Linked DNA regions of Anolis sagrei. The protein of the gene in region 1 purifies or fractionates together with the protein of each later gene. This does not show direct contact. Links are inferred from orthologs where the notes say so. Each region holds a gene or a part of one and is shown in the gene's direction. Other genes may lie near its edges. The genes, in order: ZZZ3, YEATS2 and KAT14.

What was found.
Region 2: the proteins of ZZZ3 (region 1) and YEATS2 purify together in Homo sapiens (affinity purification with mass spectrometry; 3 studies listed by BioGRID, with this or other methods). This does not show direct contact. The link is inferred for Anolis sagrei from reciprocal best matches to the Homo sapiens genes ZZZ3 and YEATS2.
Region 3: the proteins of ZZZ3 (region 1) and KAT14 purify together in Homo sapiens (affinity purification with mass spectrometry; 4 studies listed by BioGRID and IntAct, with this or other methods). This does not show direct contact. The link is inferred for Anolis sagrei from reciprocal best matches to the Homo sapiens genes ZZZ3 and KAT14.

Annotation. Positions count from the first base shown.
Region 1 is NC_090024.1:159,679,646-159,687,375, forward strand, and holds the start of ZZZ3 (ZZ-type zinc finger-containing protein 3), read left to right. Parts: upstream 1-4,651; 5' UTR 4,652-4,719; intron 4,720-5,134; exon of another isoform or gene 5,135-5,225; intron 5,226-7,730.
Region 2 is NC_090023.1:219,318,455-219,326,319, reverse strand, and holds the start of YEATS2 (YEATS domain-containing protein 2), read left to right. Parts: upstream 1-4,865; 5' UTR 4,866-5,003; intron 5,004-7,865. UniProt on the Homo sapiens protein: Chromatin reader component of the ATAC complex, a complex with histone acetyltransferase activity on histones H3 and H4. YEATS2 specifically recognizes and binds histone H3 crotonylated at 'Lys-27' (H3K27cr).
Region 3 is NC_090024.1:133,210,421-133,217,835, forward strand, and holds the start of KAT14 (cysteine-rich protein 2-binding protein), read left to right. Parts: upstream 1-4,371; coding exon 4,372-4,627; intron 4,628-6,589; coding exon 6,590-6,708; intron 6,709-7,415. Other genes in the region: protein PET117 homolog, mitochondrial, read left to right, coding at 1,936-2,031, 4,087-4,224. UniProt on the Homo sapiens protein: Component of the ATAC complex, a complex with histone acetyltransferase activity on histones H3 and H4. May function as a scaffold for the ATAC complex to promote ATAC complex stability. Has also weak histone acetyltransferase activity toward histone H4.

The DNA of each region.
Region 1 (7,730 bases):
AATCCAGTGGGATTGCTTCATATAGTTATTATTCTGCTATTCTACATGAAACTGATTTGGAGACATCACTCCTCAAAGGAAATGAGCAAGTATACTAAGCACATCTGAGACAAGGTCTACTACTTACTATTCTCGTCCCTAACTTGTTTTCTCCCTAGCAAACCATGCTACTGATAAGACTTTTGATAGCACAAGTTTTGGAAGTCATTTATGTAATTCAACAGTATGACGATTTTATCAGTCATCTCTCATCAGCTCAGAGACAGAACAAGATAGACACAGCTATGTCAAATTCATTAGGCTTACACTTAAAGAGTTATACTGCCTGTGCAAGTTACTAATTCTGCTGTAGCTTGTATGTAGGACTGGCCTTGTCCACTCAAATAACATACGTATTCTAGACCTCTAAAGCTACATCTATACTATAGAACTGCGGAACTTGCTGACCAAAAGGTCGGCAGTTTGAATCCGGGGAGCAGGGTTAGCTCCCACTGTCAGCCCCAGCTTCTGCCAACCTAGCAGTTCAAAAGTATGTAAATGTGAGATCAATAGGTACCGCTCCAGCGGGAAGGTAACAGCACTCTATGCAGTCATGCTGGCCACATGACCTTGGAGGTGTCTACGGACAATGTCGGCTCTTCGGCTTAGAAATGGTGATGAGCATCACCCCCTAGAGTCAGACACAACTAGACTTAATGTCAAGGGGAAACCTTTACCAATACATACACTGTAGAATTAATGCAGTTTGACATCACTTTAACTGCTCATCAAACTACAAATCCCTAGAATTAATGTATATCCCACCCCTTCTCCCCATGAGGATTCTGGGTGGCTAACAAAACAAAAGGCAAACATTCAATTCCAGAAAGTTTAAAAAATGAATTTAGCAATACAGGTAAACAGTATAAAACATTCAGTCATAAAAACAATCACAATAAAAGACTAATAAAGCACATTTCATGTTAGGGAAAACTACCCTAAAATATAAAGCAGAACATAAAAAAACCCAGAATACCAAAGCTGAGCATCAATTCATTAGCAAGCAGAGCGTGAAGTGCTGTGTGATGTGGCGGTAAAGAATTCAGAGCTTAGGAGGCAAACATGCAGAGTCCAATCTTAAAAAATCACAATAATAAAGAACTAACTGCATTTCTTAATAATGAAGAATTGGGTCTGAGTTACTCTTAACACCCATGGAGTCTGAGTTACTCTAAGGTTTCAAGAGAGAAAAACTCAATCATTACATCTGTCCTGACACACAAGCAGAGAGAGATCACGAAGCACCTAGCACATACTCTGCATGCTAAAGTGTAAGAAGGCAGATTCATAAAACTTGCAGTAGAAAAGTATCAATTTTAAACAACCATTCAGAATGAGTAGAAACAGAGAGAGATAGGGAGACAACAAAATAGATACATTCCCAACTGTCGTACATGAGACATGGGGGAAGGGAAACCCTTAGGCTATACCAGTGGTTCTCAACCTGTGGGTCCTCAGGTGTTTAGACCTACAACTCCCAGAAATCCCAGAAATTACCAGCTGTTAGGATTTCTGGGTGTTGGAGGCCAAAACATCAGGGAACCCACAGGTTGAGAATCACTGATCTGTACGAAGCTAACGTTGCGGCCTTGAGACTTGGGCAGTGTGAGGTTGAATTCCAACATTTCACAACTACTGTATATACTCAGCGTTGCTCCCCAGGTGCCTGAAGAGCTGCTGTCTGCCTTTCTCCTTTCTCCAGCTCTGAGAAGATATACTTTGCAATGTCTCAATGGCAACACTGGGCAACTATTTCCTTCTCCATTTCCCTCATACACCTTCTTCCCTCTTTTATTCCTGTCTTTCCTTCTTCCCTTGCTTTCCCTTCTACATCTCCTTCATTTCCTCCATTGTTTCCTTCCTTCCTATATCTTCCCCCTTTCCCTTCTTTCTTTCCTTCCTTCTCCATTTCCCTCATACACCTTCTCCCCCTTTTCTTGTTTTTCCTTCTTCCCTTGCTTTCTCTTCTACATCTCCTCTTCCCTCCTTCCGTTGTTTCCTTTCTTCTCATCTTCTTCCTTTTCCCTTCTTTCTTTCCTTCATTTCCCTTACACACCTTCTCCCCACTTTTCTTGTCTTTCCTCCTTCTTGCTTTCTCTTCTACACCCTCCTTCTTCCCGCCCTCCATTATTTCCTTCCTTTCTATAACTTCCCCCCGCCCTTTCCTTTCTTCCCCTCATACAGGTCACTTCACTCCCTTTCTTTCCCAGTCACGTGATAGGGAGCCACTTGACCTTTTCTTTTTCCCTCAGCTCTGGGCCTTAAAAGGTCTCCTTTTTCCATTTCAATCCCCACAATTATTTTAAGTTAGATAATGAAGGGACTGTGTGAGGTTGAACTCGGAGGCCCCCGCTTTCAAACTGATCTAACTGCAGCAGGGAGTGCCATAGTTCCTGGAAACATGGACTTTCAAGGTGACAACAGGACTTTGGCTCCAGCAACAGCTTCAATGAAGAAACTCTTTTTCCTCCCCACTAAGTTCCTCCTGCTTCATTGTAACAATTCCCCAATAAAAATACCCTTTTCTCCAACTTTCTCTCTCTGAAGTGATACATTGTGTCCTTTACTGGCTCTAGCACCGTTGCAAATATGAACTTTCCTCTTTCCAAGCCGTGGAACTTCGCTGGCTCACCTGGGATGCTCTTGCAGCATCCCGGAGAAGCCAAAACTGCAATCCTTCAAACCGTAAATATGGAAACCGGCTCGGCCCTGGTATCCGCGGGTTGACTGATCGGCTCCAAATCAGTGCCATCTTTTTCCTAGGTCAATTCTAAGACTAACTGCTATCTTACTTTTTGTTGGAACAGACCCCTGCACCCCAGAAATCCAACTCTTTATGTGGAACCTTATGTGGGGACAAGAAGGTTTCTTTCCATGGCTCCACACTACGATGCTCGTGTTTCCTTTTTGTGCAAGTTGCCCTGACCTGGAGGCCTATCAATCCCACGAAGTCTCTTGTGGTCACTCCCTGGGACCCCCAACCTCTGGCAGGCCAATCTGGCCATTCATGAATTAGACCTATGAATTAACCTCCTGTTTTTATTAATGGACTTTGGCTGCTCGGTGCTTTTATGGACATATACTTTTAGGAACTTTTTTGGACTTTTTGCCAACTTTCATGAACTTTGATGACTTTAGGGTGGCTGAAATGAATTCTCTCTTGACCCTGCATCCCTCCCCCTTCCCATATGAACTCTGTATATGCCCTATGCCCCCATTCATTATATGTATGTATAAAAATTATGAAACAAAGTGACCTTTTCATGAACTATGCCAGCAACTCATGGCTCTAGGGACTTCAGAACTTCCTGAGCCGATAATTCCCTAACAAAAGGACTTGGCAAAAACCATTTGCATGGACAATAAACCAACAGCCCCTCTCCCGGACTTTGGAGGGTCTCATTTACCAGACCATCCAGGAAGCGGCCCATGGACATATTGAAGCATTCAATACAGAAGGCACAGGTCACTGCCTCCCCCATTGTGCCATTTCCCAGTGTCTGAAAGGCATTTCAACTCTCATCATCAAGTAAATATCACAGGATTATGACAATGGAATCAGTGGGGTTCAAAATGTAGGTGAACTATAAATCCCAGCAAGTACAACTCCCAAATGTCAAGTCTATTTTCCTCAAACTTCTCTAGTGTTCATATTTGGGCATGTTGAGTATTTGTGTCAAGTTAGGTCAAGATCTATCATTGTTTGAGTTCACAGCGCTCTCTGGATGTAGGTGAACTACAATTCCAAAACTCAAGGTCAATACCCACCAAACCCTTTCTGTTGGTCATGGGAGTTCTGTGTTCCAAGTTTGGTTCAATTCTATCTTTGGTGAAGTTCAGAATGCTCTTTGATTGTAGGTGAACGATAAATTCCAGCAACTACAACTCCCAAATGACAAAATCAGTCCCACCAGCTCCACTAGTATTCAAATTTGGGCATACGGGGTATTTGTGCCAAATTTGGTATAGTGAATGCAAATACATCCTGCATATCGGATATTTACATTACGCTTCATAACAGTAGCAAAATTACAGTTGTGAAGTAGCAACAAAAATAATTTTATGGTTGGGGGTCACCACAATATGATGAACTGTATTAAGGGGTCATGGCCTTAGGAAGGTTGAGAACCACTGCCCTAAACCTTGCCCCAGCCCTTACCCTAAGCGTCCCCTCCTTTCTACCCTTCCTTCGCTCTCCCCTTCTCTCCCTCCGCCCCCTCTTCCCTTATTCACAGCCACCTTTGCGGCATCTCCATAACGCTCGGAGCTTCCGGGCCCAGCTATCCTACTATCACCTTCCCATGCATGATATAACATGTCAAAGTTGGTTGGCTTGTATGTACACACGGAGTGTCCCCTCTCCCAAATGTGTACCCCCCCCCCCCCCCTTAACGGCTGCTGGTTGCGGCAAAAGGGTTGGGAAGAGGCCTCTGCCCGCCCAGCGCGGCCTTCTTCCTTCCTCCTCGGCTCAGCCGGCAGGCGGAGCTGCAGGGCGAGAGCAGCGGGCCCCTCTCCCTCGCGGGCGGCGCAGGCAAGATGGGGAGGAAGCGGAAGGTGCGGTGCCGCTGCTGCCGCGAGGCGCTGTTTATTGGAGCCGGGGCGGGGGGGGGGAGCGCTGACGTTGCTGCTTGGCTCTGAGAGAGAACAAGGAAGGAGCGCTTCAGCTCCTTCAACAATCAGGTCAGCTCCCCCCCTCCCCCCTCCGCCGCTCAGGACACGGATGAGGCGGAGGGACCCGGATGATGTGTTGGGAGGGGGGAACACTGATGAAAAAGGAGGAGGAGGTGGCGTTCTAATCCTCATGTGATCGGCGCGTGCGGAGGGAGGAGGAGGGAGGAGGCTCGCGCGCCCTGTTCGAAAATCCCACCTGCTCAACTGAGCCTTGTGGGGAGGGGGAAGGGAGAGGGAGTGAAGGAGGCTGCTCTGCGCGCATGCGCACCTGCGTCGTCCCGCCTTTTCCGTAGCTTCAGTCTGGACGCGCGCGCGCACGCCGGATTTGTGTCTGCCTGGGACACGTGCGCGCCTCTTCCTTCCGCCATGTTGGTTCTCAGTGGAGGAGGAGGAGGGGGAAAGAGGAGGAGGAAGAGGGGAAGGTTGAAAGGGGGAGTTCTCGCGAGGTCAGCGCTTGTTCCCGTGGGAGCTGGCCAGAGGCAGGGATGGCGGCGGCGCTGCGCTGAGAGTGATGGGTAATAATGGTAACGGGCAACCGGGAGGGAGGGAGCGAAGGAAGGAGGGAGGGAGGGGGCGGCCCACCTCCGAGCCCGTTGACGCGTGAGGAGAGGCGGGGCTCGGTCACGGGGAGAGACGGAGCGAGTGCTGGGGCCGAGCGGCTCTTTCCCTCCCTGCTTTGGCCCACTCGCCTTCCCCTCAGGCCTCCCGCCCCCCTTCCCTTCCCTTCCCTCGCGTCTCCGAGGCGCCCCCTGTCGTCCCGTCGGCGCCATGGCGGGCATTATCTTCCTTCCCCGAGATTCAACCTAACGGTCAGCCCCCTGAAATCTCTTCCCTCAGACTTCTGCCCTATAACGCCCACCTGTGGCGTGAAGTATTTACATAGAACCATAAAGGAAGGAGGGGAAAAGGCTACAGTAGGCTTGGGTAAACTTGGGCCCTCCAGGTGTTTTGGACTTCAACTCCCACAATTCCTAACAGCCGGTAGGCTGTTAGGAATTGTGGGAGTTGAAGTCCAAAACACCTGGAGGGCCCATGTTTGCCCAGGCCTGGGCTACAGTGCTATTTCCTCACATGTTTACTCTTTTATTTCTTGCTTTTTGTTCCTGTCGAACTTCAGAGCCATCACTGATAATTCTGGTAAAGTCCATGTGCCAAATGTGTCCGCTGCTCTTCGGTACTTTTTAGTTCCCCTGTGTGTTTATATTTCTGTCAACTCCATGCATTTAAAAGGGGTTTTTAAAGCCAAAGAATAACTAGATAAAGTGCATATGTCTTGCTAGCTCTTTCTTCCAAAATATAACTTTTCCAGTACATACTGAACATCTCTTATTTCCAAATCCAAAATACAGACACTCCTCAAATTACAAACATTTGACTTACAAAGGACTCCTAGTTAAGAACAAGGGTGAGACAACAGGAAGTGAGGGTCCTACCACACAGCCATATAACTGAGAATATCAAGGCAGATAATCTACAATATCTGCTTTGAACTGGATTATCTGAGTCCCCATTGACATATTTTCCAGATGTGTACAGTGGATAGTTTACTGGACTCCTTCCACATCTGAATAAAATCCCACATTATCTGCTTTGAACTGGGATATATGGCAGTGTGGATTCAAATTTTCCAGTTCGAAACAGATATTGTGGGTTATTCTACCTTTATACTCTCAGTTATATGGCTGTGTGGAAGAGCCCTGAGTGCCCTTCCAGACTGGCCCAATATCCCAGGATCTGCTCCCAGGTTTTCTGTTTTAAACTGGGTTATATGTGTCCGCATGCCAGATAATCTGGGATAAATCTACCCCCCAGAAGGGAAATTCACTCCTGAAAGAGTTATCATGGGGAAAAGGTGTCTCCACTGAAGTTTTCTCACCATCCCTGTTTCCACAACAAGCCAATATATTTTTTTTTAAAAACCCGCAATTATCACTGGGATGGAAAAGGAGGTAAATCTTAACAGGGGCACAGACAGCAGAACAAAACCACATGGGTGTTCACCCTTCCCTGTTCTATGCAAAGCTAAAATGTGTATACATTTGGCAGGAGTTACACTTGTGAAATGTACATATTCTAACTTACATACAGATTCAACTTAAGAACAAACCAACAGAGCCTATCTTGTTTGTAACCAGGGTCTCCCTGAATTCCAAAATTGTGCACTTGGGTGGTTGAAATAGTGACACTTTTGCTTTCTTAAAGTTACTAAAATATTGTGCTAGCTTACCTTCAGGCTGTGTGTATAAGGTGTATCTCCTGTCTAGAATTCCGTTCCCTCTCTGAGATTTCTTATTGTGTGTGCATATCCAAATATTCCAGAATGATAAATAATTAAAAATCCCAAACACTTCTAGTTTCCAACCATTTTGGATAAGAGGTAGTTGACATATAGAGGTCCTCAAAATAGTTTAGCTGAATAGATTTTGTAGAAAGCAAAGCAAATGTATAATTGTACCTCAGTTCTACAAACTGATATTGTTGGCAGAACTTGTAATTATTTTTAAACCATTTGCTCTCAGTTGTAAAAGAGGTTTTCTCTCACAGCAGGTATTATTGTGTAGTAATTTTGCTGAGTATGCTTTTGAAAGTTGGACAACGAAGAAAGCTGATAGGAACATAACCAATTTATTTGAAATGTAATGCTGGATTCCATGGACTATTAAAATGGCAACTGAATGGGTCCTGGAGCAAATCATGCCTGAATTTTCCCTAGAGCACAAGAGGGCTAAATTGAGATGGTCATACTATGTGGGCATATCATGAGAAGATATAAGTCACCAGAAAATACCATAATGCTTGGTATGCCAGAAGGCAGTAGGAAAAGAGGAAGACCATATTCCAGATGAATAGACTCAATTAAGGAAGCTGTATCCCTTACATTGTAAGACCTAAACAAAGTAATTGGGGATGTGGTGACTTGGAGGTCTCTCATTCATAGAGTCGTTATAAGTTGAAGTCAACTTGATGGCACTTACCAACATATCATGATTCAGAGATTTTCTTTCTCTCTATGCCTCATG
Region 2 (7,865 bases), on another chromosome or scaffold:
CTGGAGTGGGTTGGTCCACGGGGTCATAAAGAGTCGGAAGTGACTGAACAAATAAACAACAAATAAAACAATCTAAAATAGCAAGATTTTTGTTTTATTTTTTATGATAACAAGCCAATTAAAAAAATACAGTTCTGCTAACCATAGTTCAGTATCTGAGCACCCGTGAATCAAATGCTAGTTCATTGTGATGAGATTCTATCAAATAGCAATTAGAAATTTCCAACAGAATCCAATGAAAGAAGCTTTTCTTAATTTCTGTCTTTTCTGAATATTCAGTTGGTTTGTCCTCATCCAGTCCATTATTGACAGTAGGTAGACACACTGTTTGGGGAGACATGCAGCTTGTGGCAGAATGAAAATCACACATAGTTCACATCTTCGCCAATCCACACACTGCCTTGCTAGAGAAAAGATATGCCATGCAAATGTTCAGTAAAGAATAAGCTGTGTACTCTTTGTTATGCAGAGCAACATATATAGTCATGCGAACAGTTGCATTGACTCGCAAAATGTCCTTTGAGAGAGATTCAAATGGTCCTTGAATGTCCATGTGAAGGATCTTCTTCCAGCAGCTCAAAAGCAGAAAATTATACTACTTGTCTTGGCAAGCTCCTGCACAGAAAACCTAAACATGTAACTGTTGCCAGAACTCCCAGGCTCAGCTAACACCCCGGGAATAACCCAACCAATCAGCTTAATGCATTGCATTTTTCAGTTAACACACACACCAACTGATTTTACATGCTTAAACACAGCTGTGTTGAATTTGCAGCCAAAAAGACTCCATTAGTGAAGTCTCTGCAATGCCTACTAACACAGAAAATCCCTTATCAAGTTGCTTATATTCCACAAGCCGATCTTCATCATATACAGTAATACTCTCATGATAGTAAATAACTAAAGAATCAGAGGAACTTTAAGAGGCATCTATTCCACCCTAGGGAGACAATGTGATATAATGGTTTGAGCACTGGACTATGATGCTGGTGAACAGGGTTCGAATCCCCACTTAGCCATGAAACCCAGTGTGTCGCCTTGGGCAAGTCACATTTCCTCAGCCTCAGAGGAAGGAAATGTAAAACCTTTTCTGAACAAATCTTGCCATGAAACAGCTGTGATAGTTGGGTTGTTGTAGGCTTTTCAGGCTATATGGCCATGTTGTAGAGGCATTCTCTCCTGACGTTTCGCCTGCATCTATGGCAAGCATCCTCAGAGGTAGTGAGGTCTGTTGGAACCAGGAAAAAGGGTTTATATATCTGTGGAATGACCAGGGTGGGACAAAGGACTCTTGTCTGCTAAAGCTGTGATAGCTTTACCTTAGGTTGGCCATAAGTTGGAAACCACTGGAAGAAACACAACAATTGGGTGTTTTTTGTTGTTGTTGTTGTTGTGTGTCTTCAAGTTGTTTCCAACTTATGGCCAACCTAAGGTAAAGCTAGTGCTAAAGGACCCCAGGAAAAGGTTGTGCAACCTGTGTTTAAAGATATTATAGAATGTAAGACATCAACTGAAAATTTAAAGATATTATAGAATGTAAGACATTAAAGGCAGTTTCAGATTTAAAAAAACAATTAAAAAAGAAGAAAAGGGACATTAAAAAATCCCCACTTTTACACCAGATTAGCACCAGTTCTGTAATGTTGTAGACACATTGCAAAGAGTTCTTCGGCTCTTTGCAATAGAGCTTGCTAAACTGCTAGGATTCCTTTGTTGAAATACCCTTCAGTCAATGAAAACTTATGCTACCAGCTTCTTTCTCTTAGTCTCAATGATGTTACAAGATCCAATTTCATTGTTAGAGTTGTCAGAGGGAAAACTGGAGAGGGCACTGGCATCTCTAATAATTGTGTGGAAGAGGATTTTTCAACAGGTGTTGTTTGTGACCTGGCTGCATACCTGATGGAATTCTCTCTTCTGCACAGCCATTAAAAGTATAGGAGCCACCTACAGTTTCCACACATTATTTTGCTTGAACAACACCTGAGGGTTTCCTGAGTTGTGACGCCTCTGGCTCAGGGAGAATGGAGGACCCATCTACATGGTCATATGATCCAGTTTCTGAATACAGATTATCTGCTTTGAACTGGATAATATGAGTCTACATTGTCATATTTTCAAAAAGTTTCCCCTTGACATCAAGTCCAGTCGTGTTCAACTCTGGGGTTGGTGCTCATCTTCATTTCTAAGCCGAAGAGTCGGCGGTGTCCGCAGATGTCTCCAAGGTCATGTGGCCAGCATGACTGCATGGACCGCAAAAGCAGTACCTATTTATCTACTCACATTTGCATGTTTTCGAACTGCTAGGTTGGCAGAAGCGGTGACTAACAGCGGGAGCTAACTCCACTCCCCGTATCTGAACCGCTGTTCAGCAGCTCAGCGGTTTAAATGCCTCCACCACCAGGGGGACCTTATATATGACTATATTGTACTATATTATTATACTATAATACATATAATATACCAATATGCTGATGAGAATGTAGTCTGTGTGCAGTCCAAAACACCTGGAGGGCCCGTTTGCCCATGCCTGCCCTAGCCCATCACATGCCAGATTCTCTGGTATGGCCACCTGGCAGGTCTGACTCCTCCATTACCCACCTTCGATGGTGCCGCCCTATCTCCATCAACCACTGTTAAGAGCTTAGGTGTCATCCTGGATTCACAGCTGACAATGGAAGCTCAGATTGCTGCTGCCAGCAAACAGGCCTTTTTCCATCTACGACAAGTGAAGCCACTGGCACCCTACCTATCTGACGAGGCTCTGGCAACTGTCATCCATGCCACGATCACATCTAGGCTGGACTATTGCAATGCCCTGTATGAGGGCCTTCCGATGTCTACGACCCGAAAGCTTCGTATTGTTCAGAATGCGGCAGCCAGGCTACTCACAAGAACGCCCATGAAATGCCATATAACACCAGTGCTGCAACATTTACATTGGCTTCCAACTGAGTACCCTGGCCTGTATAAGATGCTAGCTCTGACCTTTAAAACTCTTTACGGCCAGGGTCCATCGTACCTTAGGGACCGCCTCTCCTTTTCCCATCATCGGAGGTCGCAACGACCAGCCCAACGTGACTTACTCCATATACCAGGTCCTAGAGAAGTGCACTTGGAAAGGACCAGACGCAGGGCTTTTTCTATTTCTGCCCCTGCCTTGTGGAATTCCTTGCCGCCCTACATGAGAGCCATGCGTGACTTAGGGCCTTTTACTCTCGCACTTAAGACCTGGCTTTTTACTAGAGCATTCGATCTCTGTTGATTTTTAATTTTTGTATGTATGTATTTTATCTTTTATAATTTAGCTGTAAATCGCCTAGAGCATTCTCGGATGGAGGGCAATTAATAAGTTATTAAATGATGATGATGATGATGATGATAAACTACTATGCCATCAAAACATGACAATATCACAAAATCTGACACTGTTTGCTTTACAGATTGGTTGTGCTGGTGGGATTGTTTGCAGGCTATTAGGAATGGTGAGAGTTGAAGTCCAGAACACTTGGAGGGCCCAGATTTGCCCATGCCTGCTTTATACTAACCACTTGCAGCCTGAGCTAACTGGTAAAAGGATAGAGATGACTAATGTGGTAGAGTCTCCTCTGGAGGTTTGGAAGCAGAGACTGGATGGCCATCTGCCGGGAGTTCTTTGATTGTGTATCCTCGCATGACAGAATAGGGTCACTAACTGGTAACAAGATGTGGTAGCAGGGCCGTAGCCAGAAATTTTTTTTGGGGAGGGTTGACAATTTCGGGGGGGGGGGGTGTTGAAATTTTTGGGGAGGGTTGAAAATTTCAGGGGGCGGGGTTGAAACCTGCCTCCTAGTGCACGCTAAAGCAAAGAGCACAGCAGGGGGCAGAGCAACCTTCAGTAGCCTGCAGCTCCACCCCTGCCAACCACCTCCACCAAGTCTGGCCTCCGCATTCAGCACACACACACCCAACTTGGTTGCTTCACTACATCGGCTATTGCTGCAAGTAATGACAGTGTGAATAAATTGTCAATATTTGCTTGAGATAGTGCTTGCAGTTCTGGAGATACTCTTAATTTTTTGCATCTCATAGACTTAGCATGGGGATTTGGTTAACCAGTTAAAATTCATGAGTAAACCAGGTTTTTTAAAAAAAATCTGAAACATTTCGGGGGGGGGGTTGAACCCCTAAAACCACCCCCTCGCTACAGGCCTGTGTGGTAGAGTCTCCTTCTCTGGAGGTTTGAAAGCAGAGACTGGATGGCCATCTGCTGGGATTGCTTTGATTGTGTATCCTCGCATGACAGAATAGGGCCTCCAACTGGTAAAAGGATGAAGATGACTAAAGCGGAAGAGTCTCCTTCTCTGGAGGTTTGGAAGCAGAGCCTGCGCGGCCATCAGCCGGGAGTGCTTTGATTGTGTATCCCTGCATAACAGAATAGGGTGTCTAACTGGCAAAAGGATGGGGATGACTAATGTGGAAGAGTCTCCTTCTCTGGAGGTTTGAAAGCAGAGGCTGGATGGCCATCTGCCGGGAGTGCTTTGATTGTGTATCCCTGCATGACACAATATGGTCTCTAACAAGTAAAAGGATGGGGATGACTAATGTGGAAGAGTATCTCTCTCAGGAGGTTTGAAAGCAGAGGCTGGATGGCCATCTGTCGAGAGTGCTTTGATTGTGTATCCCTGCATGACAGAACAGGGATGTCTCTGTCTAGGATTCTGAGCTAGAAGGAGCCCTCCTTCGCGGGGGGAGTCTAGGGAGAGGCAATCCTGGGCGCCGCGGGGCAGACCAGGCTGGGGGAGAGAGGGGTCCTTCTTCTGCCGGCTCTGCCCGCCCCTCGGCCTCTCTCCGCCTGCGCAGCCGCGCCTCCTGGGTGGCCCCGGCGCTGGATGGCGGCTGCGCGTTGCAAGCGTCGGCCTCGCGGAGCCTCAAGCGGGTGCCTTGGTTGGCTGGCTGGCTGACGCGCGAGGCTCGCCCACTCGCAGCGGCCTTCCGGGGAGAACTTCTCAGCCGAGCCACCGGTGAGTCGGCGCTGCAGATCCGGCGGGAGGTTTACCGGGCTGGGAAGGGGGGGGGGGTGAGAAAGCGCGCGCTGCGGCGCATGCGCGGGGTCGCCTCTGCCCAGTGCTCCCGGGTGAGTTAGTTGTTGGGGAGGGGAACCTTTTTGCAAAAAAGAGGCAAGTTTTGCTCTTTGAAAGGAGGAGAACTTTCCGAATTGTATTGGTAAACTCTCCCATACACTTTGCAGGAAAGTTCATAGAATCATAGAAGATGGGAAATATCTTTCCCCCTCCCCCAAAAAACTACCCAGTTCCAAGTTTCCAACCTCGTCCTGCCATGCAGCAATACACAATCAAAACACTCCCGACAGATGGACATGCTTAAAGAAATCAGAGGGTTTTTTAAAAAAAAAAATCTGCATTGCAACCTTGTCTTTAGCGTTGATTTCGCTTTGGAGTCCCACGTGCAAGGCTGGAAAGTTGCACCTGTCTCTTCCTTTACATTTTGATGGTGTCTAAACAATATATATAATGCATTATATTATATATTGTATATACATATAATATTTATAATGTTATAATGTAATGCAATATAATAGTACTACTAATAATATGATATTATAATTATATATTTATACTAGCCGTCCCCTGCCACGCGTTGCTGTGGCCCATTCTGTATATATGTGTTTTGTGTGTATACATATGTGTTTATATATTTGTGTATCTGTGTATATGTGTGTTTCTGTATATATATATATATATATATGTGGGTGTATATATGTGTGTGTAGATGTGTATATACGTGTGTATATATTTGTGTGTTTACATGTGTATATGTATATTGTGTCTATGTGTGCTTGCCTATATACATATTTGTGTTTATATATGTGTGCATGTGTATATGTATATATGTGTGTATGTAAATGTATGTGTGTGTATTTGTGTGTGCTTGGGTATATATATACGTATGTGTATGTATGTGTGCATGTGCATATGTATATGAGTGTGTGTGTGTGTATATATATATATATGGTGTATTTTGGGGGTTTTAAAGTCCGTTCTGTATTTATATTTTTAGGGGTGATGAACACTTGTTGGACTGTTAGGTGTATTGAGTCAAAATTTGTTGTCAATTTGTCTAGTGGTTTCTGAGTTCTGTTAATCCCACAAACGAACATTACATTTTTATTTATATAGATTACATGTAATATTACTAATAATATTACAATATAATGGTATAATACAATATAGTAATATTTAATACTTATATTGTACTATGCTAATAATAAAATATATTGTATGTATATATATCTTGTAATCCGCTCTGAGTCCCCTTCGGGGTGAGAAGGGCGGCATGTAAATGTCGCAAATAAATAAATCCACATTGGATCCAATCCTCAAGATCACAACAATGCAATATTGTGATGTTGTGATATTCCAGGATTCACAAAGAGTCCCTCAGGAAGGTTTTCCCCAAGTACACATAGGACTCCAAATTCACACACACACCCCATCCCTTAAGGTAGCATTTGAGTGCATCTACACTGTAGAATTAATGCATTTTGACACTGCCTTATCTGCCATGGCTTAATGCAATGGAGTTCTGAGGTTCATAGTTTGGTGAGGCACCAGCACTCTATGGCAGAGAAGGCTAAAAAGAACTTGTGAAACTACAATTCCCCTGATGGAACTGAGGCAGTTGAAGTGTTGTCAAACTGCATTAATTCTACAGTGTAGAGATAATAATAACAATATTCCTAACCCACCTCTCTCCCCAAGCAGATTCAGGGCGGCTTCCTGTCCTGAGTTGCCCTTCAAAATAGCCTTTAGACAATGTTGAAAGTAAAAGAAAAATGCTTTACTTCAGTAAACACAAAGGATAAGCAAATGCAATTGAAAAGTGCAAAGGAAAACAAGAAAGTCTTAATCCAGACACAAATTAAAGTCCCAAAAGAAACACCAGTCTTCCATCAGACAACGGACGATGAACTAAATTCTTAGCAGCAGACACAAAGCAGATTCCATTGGAGTGAAAACAGCAGTAACAGGGTTGTTGTTACCAGCAAAAGCTGACTCCTCCTGATTTGTAGCCCTGAATTCTCCATGCAGGAGGTGCTAGGGCGTCTCCCAATTAGCTCAGCGTTTTTAGCAGCTGTCCTAGCTGAATGCTGTCTGTGCTCTCTCTTTTCGTCTCTATAGAAATGTGGACGCTTTCAAACCCTCATCATCTGATTCTTCTTCTCCCTCCAATTTCTGAGCACTTCCCTGCTCCCCTTCCTCCTCCGAAGATGAGGAATCCCTAACACTTCCAAAACAAGGCAGACATTCAATGTCCCATACAATCTATTTAAATAAAAATGTAATGTTGGTTTGTGAGATTAGCATAACTCAAAAAGCATTGGATGAATTGACACCAAATTTGGACACAATACACCTATCAGGCCGACAAGTGACCATCATTCATAAAAACACTGAAAAACACAACAGATGGGACATAAAAGGCCAAAAAAGCAAAAAGACACTACAGCGCATGTGCAAAAACAACTCACCCTGGCAAACAAAACGCACAATAGCATATCCACTCTCTCTTCCAGACTACAGCTCCCAGCATCCCCTAGACCAGGCCTTTTTGGAGAGGAGGATGATCCAAATGCACTTTACTTTCAAGATGCAAGCTTTCTTCTTCTTGGATTTCTTTGAAAGCATCCCAATCCTTGCATATTTCCACTTTCCTATTCTTGGACTGTAACTTCCAGCAATCATCCAAATAAGATAGATAGATAGATTAGATAGATAGATCAGGAGGATTGCTGAGAGTTGCAGTCCAAGAATAGGTAGAGAAGGGAGAAAGGGGAGAAAGAGGAAGGGGAAGAAAAGGGGGGG
Region 3 (7,415 bases), about 26 Mb from region 1:
CCCAGCTCGAAGGAGATATTTTGGGATTTTCTGCCTTGATATTCCGGGACATAAGGTCATAGAACCCAGAATATCAAGGCAGACCATCCACAATATCTGCTTTGAACAGGGCTATCTGTGGGTCCTTCCAGACAGGCCCTATATCCCTGGATCTGATCCCAGGTTTTCTGTTTATCCCAAATTATCTGGGACTTATATAATCCACTTTAATGCAGATCCTGGGATATAGGGCCTGCCTGGAGGGCCCTGAGTCCACAGTGCCATATAATCCAGTTCAATGTGGATTTTATACAGCTGTGTGGAAGGGGCCCTAGTGTAATCAGAAAGACATCTGGTGCCTTTGCTTTGCCATAAAGGTAAAGAAGATAATTTTTCCAATCCAGCAACATTGACTAGGCATCCTAGTCACATATGAGAGTGCAGCAAGGAGCCAAACAAACAAACCAAGCTGGAATGTGTCCAGAGGAGGGCGACTAAAATGATCAAGGGTCTGGAGAACAAGCCCTATGAGGAGCGGCTTAAAGAACTGGGCATGTTTAACCTGAAGAAGAGAAGGCTGAGAGGAGATATGATGGCCATGTATAAATATATGAAATGATGTTATAAGAAAGGGGGAGCAGGCTTGTTTTCTGTTGCCCTAGAGACTAGGACGTGGAACAATGGCTTCAAACTACAAGAAAGGAGATTCCATGTGAACATTAGGAAGAACTTCCTGACTGTGAGAGCTGTTCAGCAGTGGAACTCTCTGCCCCAGAGTGTGGTGGAGGGTCCTTCTTTGGATGCTTTTAAACATAGGCTGGATGGCCATCTGTGTGTGTGTGTGCTTTGAATGCAATTTTCCTGCTTCTTGGCAGGGGGTTGGACTGGATGGCCCATGAGGTCTCTTCCAATTCTATATTCTACTAGCCATCCCCTGCCATGCATTGCTGTGACCCACATGGGGGTTCTGGGTGGGAGGTTTGGCCCAATTCTATCATTGGTGGAGTTCATAATGTTTTTTGATTGTAGGTGAACTATAAATCCCACCAACTACAACTCCCAAAAGTCAAGGCTCTATTTTCCCCAAACTCCACCAGTGTTCACATTTGGACATATTGAGTATTTGTGTAGAGTTTGGTCCAGATCCATCATTGTTTGAGTCCACAGTGATCTTTGGATGTAGGTGAACTACAACTCCAAAACCAAAGGACACTGCCCACCAAACCCTTGCAGTATTTTCTATTGGTCATGGGAGAACTGTGTGCCAAGTTTGGTTCAATTCAATTGTTGGTGGAGTTCAGAATGCTCTTTGATTGTAGGTGAACTATAAATCCCAGCAACTGCAATTCCCAAATGTCAAAGTCTATTTTCCCCAAACTCCACCAGTGTTCATATTTGGGCATATTGAATATTTGTGCCAAGTTTGGTCCATATCCATCACTGAGTGCACCATGCTCTCTGGATGTAGGTGAACTACAACTCCAAAACTCAAGGCAATGCCCACCAAACCCTTTCAGTATTTTCTGTTGGTCATGGAAGTTATGTGTGCCAAGTTTGGATCTATTCCATCGTTGGTGGGGTTCAGAATGCTCTTTGATTGTAGGTGAACTACAAATCCCAGCAACTACAACTCCCAAATGACAAAATCAGTTTTTTTGAGTGAAAGACATACATTGGGTTGTTAGATGTCTTGTGTCCAAATTTGGTGTCAATTCGTCCAGTGGTTTTTGAGTTCTGTTAATCCCACAAACGAACAATACATTTTTATTTATATAGAGAAGAAGATAAGACGATCCTAAGTTTCTCTTCTCAGCACTTGTTTAAAAAAGAGCAGTGTAGAAGCCCCGCCCCTCAGAAACGGGGAGGGGAGCAAAGGGAGGGAGCAATCTTACTCGGCGCCCTGCAAGCATGCGCATTAGGGGGCGCGCGGAAGCACGCATGCGCAGATGAGCCGCCATGTCGACGGCCTCCAAAGTGGTGCTGGGGGCCTCGCTGCTGCTCTCCGGCGGGGTCGTGGCGGGCGTCCACCTCCAGCAGAGGCGCCTGCAAGAGGTAACGGCGCGCGGTTTCCCTAGTGACGTCATCCCCAAAGGTGCTAGAAGCCTTTTTTCCGCCTCGCGCGCGGCGGAAGTGCTTGCTTCCCTGAGAAGAGACTTTGAGAGGCCTCTGTAGAGGGCCCAGCCTTGCCTCCCTTCCTTTGGCGCTGTATTGGCATGGCACCCTTTTCAAAACCATAGCTTCCACATGAAGTAACACCAGAATTAGAAGAATGCCAGAACTTCAATGTGTTTTGGAAGGGAGAGTAGATAGAATAGAGTCTCTGAATAGATAGAGAGTCTCTGAATTCCTCTCACTTCCACTAGATCAGTGGTTCTCAACCTGGGGTCCCCAGATGTTTTTGGCCTACAACTCCCAGAAATCCCAGCCAGTTTACCAGCTGTTAGGATTTCTGGGAGTTGAAGGCCAAAAACATCTGGGGACCCCAGGTTGAGAACCACTGCACTAGATTATGAGGCAAGAATATAGCATTAAGTAGAAGCAAACCACTAGAGGAGTGGTTCCCAACCTTTGGTCCTCCCAGTGTTTTGGACTTCAGCTCCCACAATTCCTAACAGGAGCAGTGGATTAAACCCCTGTGCTGGCAGGACTGAAGACCAACAGGTCGCAGGTTCAAATCCGGGGAGAGGAGGGTGAGCTCCCTCTATCAGCTCCAGCTCCTCATGTCGGGACATGAGAGAAGCCTCCCACAAGGATGATAAAAACATCAAATCATCTGGGCGTCCCCTGGGCAACGTCCTTGCAGACGGCCAATTCTCTCACACCAGAAGCGACTTGCAGTCTCTCAAGTCGCTCCTGACACGACAAAAAGAAAAATTCCTAACAGCTGCTAAAATGGCTGGGATTTCTAGCAGTTGAAGTCCATAACACCTGGAGGATTAAAGGTCGGGAACCACTTGCACTAGAGAGCTGCTTGGCATCATTTACTACCAAGTCGGAAATGACAAAGGCCCCTTCTAAAATGCTGATGGCGAGTTCGCCCTAGACCCCTGCTTTCCAGCTGATCTGACCATATCATCCAGTTCAAAGCAGATAATTTGGATTTTTTATCTCTCCAAATAATTTTTATTAAACACTAGCTGTACCCGCCACATGTTGCTGTGGCCAACCTTCCCTCCTTTCTCTCCTCCTTCCTTTCTCTTCCCCCTTCCTTTTTCCCTCCTTCCTTCCCTTTTTTTCTTTCATTCTCTCCTTCCATCTCTTCCCTTCCTCCCCCCTTTTCTTTCCCTTCCTCTTTCTCCCCTTTCTTCCTTCTCTACCTATTCTTGGACTACAACTCCCAGCAGTCCTCCTGTTCAATCTATCTACCTACCCATCTTATCCATCTCCATCTACTCAGTCTACCTTATCTATCTGGATTATTGCTGGGAGTGGCAGTCCAGGAATAGGAAATTGGAAATATGCAGGGATTGGGATGCTCTCAAAGAAATCCAAGGAGAAGAAAGCTTTCAGCTTGGAAGCAGTGCATTTGGATCATCCTCCTCTCCTAAAGGGCCTGGTCTAGGGGATGCTGGGAGTTGTAGTCCGGAAGAGAGTGTGGATATGCTTTTATGTGTTTTGTTTTCCAGGGGGAGTCGTTTTGCGCATGCGCTGTAGTGTCTTTTTGCTTCTTTTGGCTTTAAAGTCCCTTCCGCTGTGTTTTTCAGTGTTTTTATGAGTGATGGTCACTTGTTGGCCTAATAGGTGTATTGTGTCCAAATTTTGTGTCAATTCGTTCAGTGGTTTTTGAGTTGTGTTAATTCCACAAACAAACTTTACATTTTTATTTATATAGATTTACTAGATTAGATTGTTTTTACAAATAATAATGATTCTTGGATAGTTTTCTCTGTTTAATTTGTAAATTGTTTATATACTTATTAGTATAACATAAATTATTGTTTGGCTGCAGGGCAGTTAGCAACACTTGAAAACTTATGTTAGTTGCTAGGAAAAAGATAGCTCAGTCTAATTTTTGTTTTTCAACACAACTTGAGAAGTTTCACTGTGGGGCGTTCTTTCCAATATCATTTTTCCTGTGAAGTAAAAATGATCATATCCTTCTTTCAGAGGCTACGCGAAGGAGTGTTGAGAGACTTTGAGAGACAGAATCATAAACAAGAATATATTAACCTTTTGGAGGAACGTTCTGCCTTGATCCAACAACGTGAAATGGAAAGCAAAATTCAAGTGCTCAAAAAATGCTAACAGTGACGGAGAAGAATTGAAATTGAAATTTCCTGGTCCTTTCAGTAATTGCATAGGTTTCTTGATGGTTGAGATAATCTTCATATGTCTAATGCTATTAGCAGAGGAAGCTTCTAGCATACCAAAAAAATCCTCTTTTAAGAAACAATGGATAATAGTATGTACATAAGTGAAATGATGAGTTGTCATGATGATGAAGCAACAAGGACGTCCCCTTCAGAAGGACTGGAAGAAGGGGAAGTGGAAGGGGAGACTCTTCTCATAGTGGAATCTGAAGATCAGGCATCAGTGGATTTGAGTCATGATCAGAGTGGAGATTCTGTGAATAGTGATGAAGGGGAAACATCCTGGTCAGAGGAGCTGTCCTATTATTGCGAAAGATGCCAGAAATGGATAGCTGCAAGTAAGAATCCCTTATATTTAATTTTTGTGGTTTTCAGAACTCCAGGTTTATTCCCTTTTTGTCTGTCTGCCTGTCTCTCTCTCTCTGTATTTATGTGTATGAAAATGATGTATGTGTTTCTCTGTCATTTGAAATACAGTCCATCTAGAATATATGGTTTATGGTTAAACCTTCATTGTTTAATGAGAGTAACAACTATGCAAATGGATTCGTACAAATAAAATTAAAATGCTGAACAAATTACGTCTGCTGTGGATGGTTTTTCCCCTCTCCTCCAGGATATATGCTAAGCTGCTACAAGTTTTGGGCATCATTGCTGTCTTGCTCTGTTTGCTGATAAGAGAAAACCGACTGCTTAGGCTTTAACTGTTGAGCAGTTATGATCATAGTCATTATGAAGTTAAATTCCTTGAAGCCCCACATTCAAATCTAAGGTGGTTCTTTCTGTATGCAGAGACTGGTCTGTTATTGCTCTCAGCTGTAGTATTTGCACTGTGTAGGATCTTATTCTAGAAATTCATCTGTGTCCCTATCCACACTGACAAGTTAATGCAGTTCAAAACTAGCTAGACAACAAATGGCCATGAAAGCTAGCAAAAGAAAGCCCTTAATGCATATCAGTGCTCTATGGTTTGTGTAATCACCATCTGAGCCTCAAACTGATTCCAGGATTTTCTATGTAATCATCTGCAGAGCAAAGCCACTTTTTTGATACCAGTTTGAAACTGCATTAAATGGCTTTTGTAGGTGGGGTCCTAGATTCATGGAGTGGTGGTATCTGCTGTGTAAAGAGAAGCTAGAAAAACTCCAGCATGCACCATGATTTTTTTGGACGTTGATTGCTGATTCTAAATAAGCCTCATAATCAGTACAATATAAATAGTGACACAGTTTGTTTCAGTACCAGGCAAGAAATCCTTCTACAGGTTTCTGTCTTTGAACGCCTTGTTTTCTGATATGTTGCTCTTTCAAGGCTTGCAAAATTACACACAAGTTCCAGTAATTTGATGACAGGTCCACTGTTCTATCACATCTTGTCTATGAGGTTAACTTGGGACTGCTCATATATATGTTACACTATACTGTACTGAGGAGCCCCTGGTGGCACACTGGGTTAAAGTGTGAGCTGCTGAGCTTGTTGACTGAAAGGTCGCAGGTTCGATTCCTGGGAGCGGCGTGAGCTTCCGCTTTCAGCTCCAGCTTCTGCCAACCTAGCAGTTCGAAAACATGCAAATGTTAGTAGATCAATAGGTACCACTCTGGCGAGAAGGTTACGGCGCTCCATGCAGTCATGCTAGCCACATGACCTAGGAGGTATCTATGGACAACACTGGCTCTTTGGCTTACAAATGGAGATGATCACCACACCCAAGAGTCGGACACAACTGGACTTAATGTCAAGGGAAAAAAATGCTGCAGTCAGAATGCACTTGTAAGCTACCCCCCCCCCCTCCCCCGGGTTCCACTTCCCAACCAATTCCACTTTCTGACAGTGTTGTGGTCCTTAGACTATCAAATAAGTGAAAGCCTCCTGTACTAATTATCTGTTGATTCCCTGTCATTTGTTTAGTTACATACTGGTATGTAACTAAACAAATAATAAAAGTCATGAAGCTTATGGATTATGATCTGATTTTTCTAAAAATATCTAGCCTTATATATTTTCAGGGTGTTCAATAGTATTTCAGTCAGTATTTCTTACAGTTCAGCAAAAAAAGGTTAAAGTGTTCAGATTTTCAAAAGGCAACCTGCTTAGAGTCAGTATTTCTGTCAATCTTTTAATGCTAATAAATTGAAATGTAATTAAAGCATAAATTATTCAGTCTCGTTAGTTTCTCTTAAGGAGCAACATATCTAGTAAGAACCTTCTTACTGAAGTCAGGGGATCTCCACTCTGATAGAATGCAATGTGCAGTTTTACAGTTTATGACAAACCTGAAGCCTTTCCTTGCTTGTTTATAGGTCAGGTGAGAGAACAGATCACCCATCTCAAAGGTGATAACTTTTTCAAGTTTACTTGCTCTGATTGCGCTGAAGATGGGAAGGAGCAGTTTGAACGGCTAAAACTAACATGGCAGCAAGTAAGTAGCAAACAAGCAGTAATGGAGTAAGAAGGTTTCAAATTTCTGTGTAATGATATACACTGGGGATCTTTTGTTTGTTTAGTGAGATTCTAGTGATTTTGTTAAACCTATGCTAACTTTTTGATGCAAAGGCAAAAAGAAGTGATTTTTGAGCTAGAGCAGTTCAAAACTCATTACAAATATAATCCTTTCTTAACATTAAAAGACACAGCTATGAACATGGAAAGTGGCATTATGCCTTGTAGCCCAGTGGTTCTCAGCCTGTGTTTTGGCCTTCAACTCCCAGAAATCCTAACAGCTGGTAAACTGGCTGGGATTTCTGGAAGTTGTAGGCCAAAACATCTGGGGACCCACAGGTTGAGAACCACTGTTGTAGCCCCATGTTCCTTCAAACACTCTTGTGCCTATATAATGAACCATGCTGGTTGTACACATTATGTTAGCAAGCACTCGGTTTAATCCAGAATTGACTACCTTCTTCATTTTTAATAATGATAAGAAATAATAATAATAATAATAATAAAACTTTATTTATTGACCGCCCTCTCTTCCCGAAGGGATTCAGCGCGGATCACAAGAAATAACAAAAGTGGCAAACATTCAATGCTAGAAAACAAATAAACAAAATTCAAGGCAAAACATACAAGAAAATAAACTCAGTGTAACTTATAAACAATCAAACCAAGGATTAAAATACATAAACT